Caenorhabditis elegans: one gene and its partner. The protein of the gene in region 2 binds, or shares a complex with, the protein of the main gene of each other region. Each region holds a gene or a part of one and is shown on either strand. Other genes may lie near its edges. A codon is read from its position in the direction of its gene.

Evidence for each region.
Region 1: the proteins of mut-7 (region 2) and rde-2 are in contact, whole or in part, in a crystal structure (PDB 8Q66), measured with the Caenorhabditis elegans proteins. Residues at the interface, in NP_499105.1 of Caenorhabditis elegans: Ile688 (codon at 1,557), Asp695 (codon at 1,536), Lys698 (codon at 1,527), Tyr699 (codon at 1,524), Glu702 (codon at 1,515), Ile703 (codon at 1,512), Arg705 (codon at 1,506), Val706 (codon at 1,503), Glu709 (codon at 1,494), His710 (codon at 1,491), Arg712 (codon at 1,485), Glu770 (codon at 1,311), Arg774 (codon at 1,299), Leu775 (codon at 1,296), Val795 (codon at 1,236), Tyr799 (codon at 1,224), Arg800 (codon at 1,221), Ala801 (codon at 1,218), Asp802 (codon at 1,215), Met803 (codon at 1,212), Ser831 (codon at 1,076), Arg832 (codon at 1,073), Pro833 (codon at 1,070), Ser834 (codon at 1,067), Thr836 (codon at 1,061), Ser837 (codon at 1,058), Lys838 (codon at 1,055), Trp839 (codon at 1,052), Val841 (codon at 1,046), Pro845 (codon at 1,034); in NP_001021399.1 of Caenorhabditis elegans: Asp320, Glu321, Asp322, Tyr324, Thr326, Arg335, Pro336, Phe337, Ile338, Asp340, Leu341, Ala342, Thr344, Val367, Gln368, Ile375, Ile384, Asn385, Thr417, Lys418, Arg420, Leu421, Ile422, Lys424, Pro426, Arg453, Cys454, Phe455, Gly456, Gly457.

What each region holds. Positions count from the first base shown.
Region 1 is NC_003279.8:7,279,780-7,284,545, forward strand, and holds rde-2 (SH2 domain-containing protein), read right to left. Parts: upstream 3,093-4,766; coding exon 2,857-3,092; intron 2,814-2,856; coding exon 2,663-2,813; intron 2,603-2,662; coding exon 2,453-2,602; intron 2,406-2,452; coding exon 2,307-2,405; intron 2,189-2,306; coding exon 2,129-2,188; intron 2,083-2,128; coding exon 1,681-2,082; intron 1,633-1,680; coding exon 1,413-1,632; intron 1,368-1,412; coding exon 960-1,367; intron 885-959; coding exon 874-884; 3' UTR 745-873; downstream 1-744. Other genes in the region: hint-1 (Histidine triad nucleotide-binding protein 1), read right to left, coding at 22-153, 228-365, 410-532; pfd-6 (putative prefoldin subunit 6), read right to left, coding at 3,351-3,477, 3,616-3,740, 3,786-3,856, 3,904-3,961; F21C3.6 (DUF4200 domain-containing protein), read right to left, coding at 4,181-4,249, 4,348-4,431, 4,576-4,766.
Region 2 is NC_003281.10:9,538,474-9,544,162, forward strand, and holds mut-7 (Exonuclease mut-7), read right to left. Parts: upstream 3,908-5,689; 5' UTR 3,883-3,907; coding exon 3,693-3,882; intron 3,622-3,692; coding exon 2,805-3,621; intron 2,758-2,804; coding exon 2,620-2,757; intron 2,572-2,619; coding exon 2,377-2,571; intron 2,329-2,376; coding exon 1,627-2,328; intron 1,577-1,626; coding exon 1,191-1,576; intron 1,139-1,190; coding exon 1,012-1,138; intron 961-1,011; coding exon 783-960; 3' UTR 558-782; downstream 1-557. Other genes in the region: ZK1098.3 (uncharacterized protein), read right to left, coding at 133-225; eif-2Balpha (Translation initiation factor eIF2B subunit alpha), read left to right, coding at 4,669-4,783, 4,836-5,101, 5,165-5,346, 5,406-5,607, 5,656-5,689. UniProt on the Caenorhabditis elegans protein: Represses the transposition of Tc1, Tc3, Tc4, and Tc5, perhaps by degrading transposon-specific messages.

The DNA of each region.
Region 1 (4,766 bases), on a different chromosome or scaffold from region 2:
AGAATGTAAGCAATGCAATATTTATCCAGGTGGCCATTGGAGCTGACGTCCTCCCAAAACGTGGAGATGAAGATGGAAAACTGATTGAGCTCCATCTTTTCCATTGTTCACAACAACACGGTATCCATTGGCCATGCCGAGCTGCTTTGCAACCTGGAATTTTATTTAAGAGTAATATAATGGAGATTTCTGGATTTTCAAATTCGTTTTTACTCATTTATAATTACCTTTGAAGCAGTAACCATAAGCTTTCCAATAAGCGCAGCATCCGAATCAACGGCATTCTCGAGCATATCAATGCGACGCTTAGGGATCACAAGAAAATGAATTGGAGCTTGTGGAGAGACATCATGGAATGCGAGAGCCTTAAATAAATATTTTATGTGATCGTTTGCCTGATCTTACATACCTCATCATCTTCAAAAATGATTTTCGCTGGAATCTCTTTTCGAATTATTTTTCCGAAAAGAGTGTCGTTGGCTTGAACATCTTTGTTAATTGCCGCCAAGTGGGCTTTATCTACTTCCGACATGTTTCTCTTTGTAAACCTGAAAAATGGTGGAATCGATAAAGACACCTTGCCTACAGTAACCCTGACCTAACTGGATTACGGTAAGCAAGACGCAAAGCGGTTTTAACCAAAGAGGAAGCCATACTAAAATATTGAAAAATGGGCAAAAAATAACCAATATGCAATATATTTCAAACGATGAAAACGCTAGACAACGAGAAATAAACAATAAACATGTGAAAATAAATGCTTTAATCAGTAAAATGATACAAAAAATAATCAAAAAAGTTAACACAAGAACAAGAATTAATGTACCAGAATACAATTTGAACCCATAACGTGATTTGTCGATTGTGCAGTTTTTACTTTCGAACTGAAATAATAATTTGAATAGAAAACCAAGAATTCTCCTAGGTTTCTTCGAAAACTCGGTTTCCCTCTTACTTACCATTCATGAAATATTGATTAGAAGACAATGGCGGAAGCTCTCGAATATCTCCATTTGTGAACTGTTGATAAGCTTCACCTCCCTTTCCAATATGTAATGAAACATTTCCAATTGGTTTTCGATGAACAACCCACGCGATTAGGTCAAAATCTGCTGATAATTTCGAATTCAAATGATTCAGAAGACGTTCTTTTGGAATTGTGACAAGTACTCCATTTGTTGCTTTCAAATAATAAAAATGATGATCCGAGTTCATCTCTGTGTTGTCATGATATTGCTCCACTACTAGTTCAGGTTTTGAAAGTGCGATTTTTACTTTCATTTCAAGCACTCCTCCGAAGCATCTGACCGAGTTTTTAAAGCAATCAATTTTAAGGAGAGAATCTGGCGTGTCTGGTTTCTTTTTCACTTAAAATTAAAGTTTTTTTAAAACATTGGTAAATTGTAAAATACCTGCAATATGTGTATATGGAATCTTGAAAATGAGCCTATCTTTTGTTTCAATTCTACGAGGCAAGATATCGAAGAATGCCACGTCTCCGAGTTGAGGGGATCTTTCCAATCCTTCACACGATCTTTCTTGAAGCAAAACGTTTATAACGTCTCTTTTGGCTGTGTACAAAATTGCAAAGCCATCGATTTTTTGCACAACGGTGCATAAAGCAGATTGAGGCTGAAATATGGTGATGAAGATTAATATTATTGTTCTGGCATTACGTACTTTTTCGGAATCAGTTTTATCTTGACGAAGCAGTTGAAGCATCGTTGGAGCTAAATCTTTAATAAACGGTCTCATCGGAATATTAGATGTTCCACGTGTTCCGTATGTATCTTCATCATCAATTTCATCTTCATCTGATAACTGATTTGAATCAATAACTGGTGCTGCTCGACTTGAGATTGTAGTCTGGGACAAGGATGAATCAACTTGATTCAATTCGATACTTTGGCTTCGAAAAGTTTCCGGAGGTATTTCCCGATTCTCTGACACAACTCTAGAGGAATTGTACGAATCAGATGTCTGCGAGTTCATTTGAGAATGCACGTCTTCTTGATGTTGACTTGATTGTTGATCTTGTACGTCGGTTTCGGGTGTTTGAACATATCCATTACCAGTCATAATCTAAAAATGTGATTACTTGAAAAATTCTGAACTATAAGTCACATACATCCAACAGTCTTGTATCATGAAGATACTGTACATCAGAATCAACGACTGGATTCGGGAGCTGAAATTATATTATGTAAACTGCAGGAGGTTGTGGCTTATATGTTCTGGGAAATTTTGATAAGCAAAAACCAAAATGTGAACAATTCAAAATGAACCAGGACACTTTTGCCACATACTGATTGATATCCATTTCGGCTTACAGCATCACAGGTGTGTAGCTTTTGTGGATCTTCATGCACACTCAATGCGACCCAACCTGCCAGAGATGCTTGAGCCTGCAATATTTTTATTTTAATAGTTTTTTTTAAAATCGATAACTTACTTCAACAATAAAACTGCGTCCATCATAGTGTTGACATGATGATTTGATCAGACTAAAGTCGTCAATAATATGATCATAGGAAATATCGTAACTGGTGAAATCATACAAATTATTTTTCCGATCTACTATTACATCAAATCGAGCTGTTATCTGAAAAATTATAAAAATCCGTACTCTTTATTTATTAAAACTTTTTCCATTTGAGATTACCAAAATTTCTCCTTCATCGTTAGCCTCATACTTCGGAAAGAATCTCGCCGATGAATTTCTGTGATTCGGCAAAACGTCCCAGTTTTCATATCCACAACTATTTGAGGAATCCAATACGTATTGTCCCACGAAGTTCTGACAAACAGTTAATCTAAAATTGCTAGTTAATAAAATCAGATAAAATAATGTCTAACTTTAGCCAGCGTCCTATCTGCAGGCTCTGAATATTTCCACTGATTTCGACAAATCCATCGATATTTTTGGTATAGAAAAGATAATTTCTGTTTCCATATTTATTGTAACCAACTACCAATCCATATATTTGGGTTTGCGGTTGTTGAATTTGTGGTTGGGGATTATACGACGATGATGGCTGACTTTGAGCATAATAGTGATTTGGAGGAAAATAAGAATGGTACCCATTATGCATCTGAATAGCAAGAAAATGAATATAGTTATAAATCAGAACTGATGTAATTAGCAATGACTTTTAACATAGACGTGAGCACAAATGGTATAAAACAGTTTGAAAGCATTTATTGTAAATGGTTCCCCGAAACAAGAAACTTATTTTTTTCATAGAAAAATTAATGTGATCTTCTCGTTTCGGAGAAACACCAGAGATGAAGAATAGGCAAAAAATAACAAATTAAGAGCAAAAAATATGAGATTCATAGAACAAACTGGATTATTTCTTCTGTGCTTGGGCTGCTGCTTGAGCCATCATCTGGAAGCTTTTTTGCATATTCATCACCTTGTCTCGCTGTTCCGTACACTTCTTCGAAATGTCTGAGATGCTGGCTTCCACTCGTTTGCTGAAAATTGTAATTAAAGTTTTGTTGCATTTTAAAACGTTTAAAGGTAAAATTTATTTGTTATTTTTATTTGTTTCGTGTAAATCAATAGCGTGCAAGAAGTAATACTAAAGAAACATGATAAACGTTACAACTCACGTCTCAGAGTCGATAAACTCAAGCCGTTTCTCCACAGTCGATCGAGCCTCCTCCAAATCTTGACGAACAAGAACCGCTCCGATGAGTTTGTAGACTTTCGAGTCGGATTCCATCAGATCAAGCTCCTGAATGAAGATAACATGAAAACTGAATCTCAAACTTTTTCTTACCGCTTTCACATTTTTACTCTCAGTTAATCTCATTTCCATCTCTTGGCGACTCGTGAAGTACTTTTCGCGGTCTATAATTAAACGATTGAAAAGATTGTTTAAATTAACAGTTACTAACCTTTTTCAAGAGTTCTGAGCTTGTTAACTTCTTCTTCGAATTTAGCCATATCAGCCATTTTGATCGTTTTTAGTGGGAAAAGAAGTGAAAGAAAACAAAATTGTGTTTAAAAATCTAGAAGAAAAACGGGTTCTGCGCCATCCTTCAAAGCGCCAGCAAGCTTTCTTGACGCATTTTCCGTTTTTGGCGGAAGTTCAAAACTGGATTGTATATGTTAACTTCAATTTTGTTATGCTTTTGCTAAAATTTCATTCAATAGTGACAATACGAAATATTTTCAATATAGATATTTCCAGAATCGTGAAAACCAACTTTGCATGGAATCTTGATAATATTCTTCGCGTATCTGAAAGTTTTAGCTTAATTATATACAATAATTAAATAAGTTTCTTGTAAGTTCAGGGTATTTCCCTAGGTTCTATAAACATAAAAATATATTCTTACCTGTTTTGTCTTTTTCAATTCTGACTCTAGTTTTGATAATTGAATTTCAGAAGAACGAAGTCGGTCTCCAGCAGCGTTGAAATGCTGGAAAAAAAATCAATTTTGTTTTAGCCTTGATCCACTTTTTTGAAAGTCTAAAAAAAATTGAATAAAATATTTAATATACACTGTATCCAAATATACTAATAAATCATAAAACAAATCGTAAAACAGAAACCATAAACTCACCGATTTTTCAATTTGTTGTGTTTGAATAAAATCATTTGAATCGGTATATAACTGCACTTTGATTGCATTTCTTGACTCCCGATAATCACTCATCACATTCTCAACTGCTTTTTGTCCAGATTCAGCGTCTTGAAATACTTTCTCGAATATTTCTTGGCGTTTACGAAATTCTTTCTTCTGATTTTCCGTTT
Region 2 (5,689 bases):
CTTTCGAATTTATTTTACGAATTGTGACAGCGGTACGGTAGCTGCCAAGTATCGGTTGTTTCGAGACCCGCTACCGTATTTGTGGTTCAAAACTAAAAATTAGGGTCCCTCATTGAATGAAAAGAAGCCTACTTTGAAAATCTTCATTCTTGCATCAATAATCTCAAACTTCAGTGATTTTTGCTTATTTTCCGGAACATCTTCCGATGATGTTGTATCTCCCATCTTAAAAAAAGATTTTTATATCTAATAATTCAAATTTATGAAAAAAAAAAGAATTTAAAATTGTAGAGCCTTGCGAAATGAACATGTTAATCACTTTTCTCAAAAATTGGAGAAAGTTTTGAATTTAAAGAAGAGTCACTATTAAACTAAACATTTAAAATAAGCACGAAAAATTCATTTACAAAAGTAAAGAAGAATCAATTGAATGTGTTCCCGCTCTTCCACCTCTCTCTCATCCTGCGTTTCTTTCTTTTCTATGACTCTATTTACGACCTAGAATATATCGATCGTCGTAGCGCGATGTAGCGGTGCATCTCAGGAAAATAACAAATAAACAACAAAATATTCATTTGAAATGAATAATGCCAGATGAGGCAAAAATATTAACAGAATAAGTATTGAATATTAAAAACCGTTGAACAGGGAGAATAAAACTAGATAAACTTAGAACTATTACCGGGACGAGGTGATATTACATGCAGGACACAAAATGTGGATAGGAAAAAATAAGAAAAATGGTACAAGTTTAAAACGAGAAGGGGAACGGGATTTCGAATTCAACATTCCTGGCTGGTGCTCTCCGACGCTTGATTGCCACGACCATCACAAGCCACCGTACCGCATTCTCCACACACATAGAAGCTGAGATTTCGACGCTTGAACTCGTCATCAGGCACTTTGTGGATTCGAACTTCAATTCCATCTGGCAGATTGGTGTGAAGTGCAGTTTGTCGCCTAAATAAAGCCAAATTAGGTTTTAATAATATTAAAGGATAAATTTCTTACGTAATATGTAGGCATCCTGTGGGAACAGTTGCCACGATCCACTTGCTTGTTGGAGATGGTCGCGACATTTCCACTTTTACTCCGTCGTAGTCGTCTGGATTGATATGAAGCATACGATTCCACCATTCTATAAGTAAAAATAAATTTCCATGTTGACCGCAAGCGAGAAATAAACTAACCTTCCAGTGGAAATTCGCTCATATCCGCACGATAAACATTTTGCACATGGATGACACAGTATTGGTGCAAGAAATGTAAAACTGGTCCGGGGAATTTAATTTGAAGCCGAGAATTGCATTCAGTGCATCGAGGATATACGTCTTCCGGACGAATATCTACGTTGAACAGGTCGAAAAACTCAATAAGCTGATCTACGGGAGACATGTTATTGAGTTCCGGAATTGCAATTGTATAATTATCATAATCCATTTTCAAGGCTTCGTAACTTTTCGATGGCACTGTGATTATATGACGTAGATGCTCGCCGCCAACTCGTTCAATTTCCTTCAGGTACTTTCGGAAGTCGCTCACGTCTTTTGGAAGAATAACATCAATTCCAACTCTCCTGAAATAAAAATTTTCAACTTTAACATTTTTTAAAGATAAACTTCAAACCTCAGATTCTTTCCAAATCCAATCAGCATTGTGTCAACAATAACTTTAATGTCGTGTGGTCGCTGTGGTGATCTCGTAGGATTACGATGGCTTCGCAAGATATCGTAGAGCTCAAGCCATGGAATAGTTTTCAGCTTGCGGTACGATTTGTGTCCTTTGTCTTTTTTCGGAGCCATTACATTTGATTCTCTGACAATCTTCTCGATATCTGCGTCCTTGTTTTTCTCCTCTACAATCGACAAGATTTTCTTGAATGTTTCCACCACGACAACTGCGTCCAATGCTGCGTACACAATTTGTTTTTTTCGCAGAGGACGACATTGCCAGTTACTGCATTGTTCAGTTTTGTCGAGCTCCAATCCCAGTAGATAATGTGTCAAATCTGCCAATTTGAAAGTCTTCTTTGGCAGCTCTAAAATTTCCATGTCGATATCGCAAACATTCTCTGCTAATCGCTTCAGATCGAATGCATTTTTGGTATCTTCTATCTTCATGGATGACTTCAGTGCTGGGATTGTAGCCATTGCATCCAGATCGTTCCTCATATCAAATCCTACGACTTTTACAGGAGAATCTCCGAACAATCGAGATGCGAACTTTTGCCACCAGTCATCTGCCATATTTGCCTTTTCTAATTCTACGCAATCCACAAGCCATACACAATTTTTGAAGAACAATTGTATGATAGCAATTTTCGAGTCACTGAAAATCGGTGCATATGGAATTTTAAGAATGAAATTGTTCACTTACTGAACAGCTGTAAGATTCGACGGTTTCCACTCAGAATCGAATCCAACGTAAACAGGTGCTGGCTCGTCGCTTAGTGATTTGATCTCGGAACATAAGTAATTCATCTCAGATTCAGTTTTCACCATGTGGATTTGAGTTCTTCGCTCATTCTCAAATACGAATAATTGTTCGCCATTTAGAGGAACTTGCAGTGTTCTGAACAAAAATGGTTTTAAAAAAGTCGAAGAAATCGAAAACAATTACTTTCTTCTCACTAGAAGTTCTTTTGCTTCTCTGAGCTTCGAATCAGGTTGTCGAAAGAAGTCCCTCATAACATTCGGCAGTTGATAGCTGCTGGAACTAGCGATTCCTAAGTAGATAGCAAAGCAGATGGCATCTATTCTGAAAATTGAATTTTAGAAAGAAAAATCTTTTTGAATGTCACTTACTGTTTCTCGGTGTCATTTGAGCTCCACAAGTAAAACAAAATAGGTTCACGAACATCTTCGGCTTTGGTAAAAGTTTCAACCATATGCTGGAAATAGTTGTCATCGGATTTTCCCTTCTCGTATCGTTCACTGATATTAAACTTCAATGCCTTCAGATTCCCATTCTGTGAGTGGTTTTTGGCGAACTTCGACAATTCCCTGGAGAAGTTGTATTCGTGAGTATTTTTGTTGATAATCGTCGAAATGAGTTTGTCCAACGTTTTTCCCGTCAATTTCTCCATAGGAATCGTCATAATTTTGGTTTCCTTGTAGGGTTTCAGCATCTCTTCAACGGCAACCACTGAGATTCCAACCATTCGATCAAAAAACTCTACAAGCTGCTGTTGCATCCTCTCATTGTTACTTATCAATTTATAAGCCGTTTGATCTTTGCCAGATAGCATTAATGGAAGAACAAGATGTTCGAAATGATGATCCCGTAGAAGATTGTACTGAATAGCCATATCTGCAGCAACGGAGAAGTCTTGTTTCTTGATGGCAGCATCTAGCAACTGTGTAATGTCCTCAGTGAATTTCTCTTTGGTGATATCGAAGATTTCACTGAGAAGCTGCTTTTGTCCAATTGTGCACACATCTAAGGCGTTTATTTGAATAGTTCCAGTCAGATATTTCTGTCTGAGCTCCGTCTCCTGTCCCGACTCTTTTAACCAAACTCCAAAATCCTCCAGATACCAAACCGCCAAACTTTGTCCCGATGTTTTTCCTCTATCCGGCATCGCTTTCATCATATCCACAGCCATTCCGTAGATGTTGACTCCTTTAAATGTATAGATTATGAATGAGGGTTTTTTAAAGTTTTTAATAATAAAAGAACTTTAAAATGTTTACCTGATCTATAGTCCTCGTTGAAAAATTCTCGATTTTTGGCTCGAACTTTTCTCTCCCGCTCAGACTCGGGTCCATTCATAATTGCTTTCAGAACTTCCCGGCGTGACTTCAACGGTTCGGCGTAGTCTGTTCGATATTTTGCCTTTTTCTCGGCTTTCGTTAGCTTTCTTTTGTACGGTTCTTCTTCCATTTTCGAAACGGACAAGCTTGATTCTGTAAAAAGTATAAATAAATATTTGTCGAAAAGTTAGTACAAAAGAAATTAATCAAAGAACAAGGAAAACGTGTTTCCCCACGAGAATTCGTATTACGGAGAGGAAAATCTAGAAACGGCCCAAAAACCGAAAGAACAACAGAAAAGCGTTGTGGATTATTCGATATCCAGCACTTTTTGCACAAATTGAGGCAAAAATAATGGAAAAAGAACCAAGAAATCAATGAACAAAATGGAAAATGAATTTTTAAAAAATTGTCGATGGTATTTAAGATGTGCAGGTTAGCGAATAGTACTGTATCACGGCGGCGATTCAAATGATCTACGAAGCAATTACACGAGGAAAATTAATGGAGATTATGGAGCAAATTGAGGGAATTAATTATAGTATAAAAGTTTCGAAAAGGAAAATTATTATTTATTATCCTATTTAGTTCGCCACACAATGGGAGATTTTAGATGCGTAAATAGTTGAGAGTAGAAAGTAAACTGACTGACTCAAAAAATATGTTTAAAATGTTTATTCGAGATTGAGAAAATAAATTAAATTTCACGAAACCTTTTAAATACATAAGTAAAAAAATGTTTTGTTTTTAAATTTGCCACTATCAAAACTGTCTAACTCTCTAACTCTTATCTTCTCTGCGTAACGATAGAGCGCGTTTACATCATTATTTTTTCATTAAATTTTTTCTATAAATATTTCTTCTTTCTACGACAAACGTTCTCCATTATTGTTTTTGCAGACTTTTTCCATCTAACATGGTTCAAGAAAGCATTATTTCATCTTTCCGTGGAAAACTTGAAAACGATCCAAGCAAATCAACGAGTCTAGCCACAGTGGAAACACTGCTCGAGGTTTTAGACCGGAGTCGCGGTAAGTTCCTGAATTTGAATATTTAGGCAATTAATTTTTTGCTTAATTACAGCCACCACCGTTGCCGAATTTCAAAATGAGCTAAATCAAGTAGTTGCTGCTCTCGAGAAAACGGACTACAGCTCAACATCAATTCGAAGTGCCGCTGATTTGTTCACCAGATTCACTTCTCTGGCTCCAGCTGCTCTTCTCGATCAAGAAGATTTTTCTCAAGTTCTTGATCTGTATCGCCAACGAGCACGCTCATTTATAAAGAATGTCAGAGGTTCTCGAGCCAAAATTTCCAAGTGCGCTCGTCTATTTTTCACTCATCATATGGTACGTTTTTTTTTCTATTTAAATAATTCCTATTTAATGTATTTTAATCTTTGTATTTTCTAGAATATTCTGACACACTCATACAGCAAAGTGGTTCTGGAAACTATTCTTGATGCTCACAAAAGTGGATATCACCTTCATGTCTGGGTCACCGAATCGCAACCGGATGCTTCAGGAAAACTAGTGTTTGAAGAATTGAAAAAGAATGGAGTTCCAACTACTTTAGTTCTAGATAGCTGTGTGGGGTGAGTGGAAATTATAAAAAACAATAAGAAAAACGTATATACATTTTTTATTTTTTAAGATATGTCATGGAAAGAATTCAAGCAGTTCTAGTTGGCGCTGAAGGAGTCATGGAAACCGGTGGAATCATCAATAAAATTGGAACTGTTAATGTTTGTATCATCGCAAAATCACGGCATGTTCCCGTCTATGTTTGCGCTGAAACTATCAAGTTTGTACGGGAGTTCCCACTCAACCAGGCCGATATTCCCCAAGAATTCAAAGTAATCAATTTATATCAAATAACTCAATCAGATCTTTCATTATTTCAGTATCGAACATCAGTAATTGAGAGAAACAACCTAG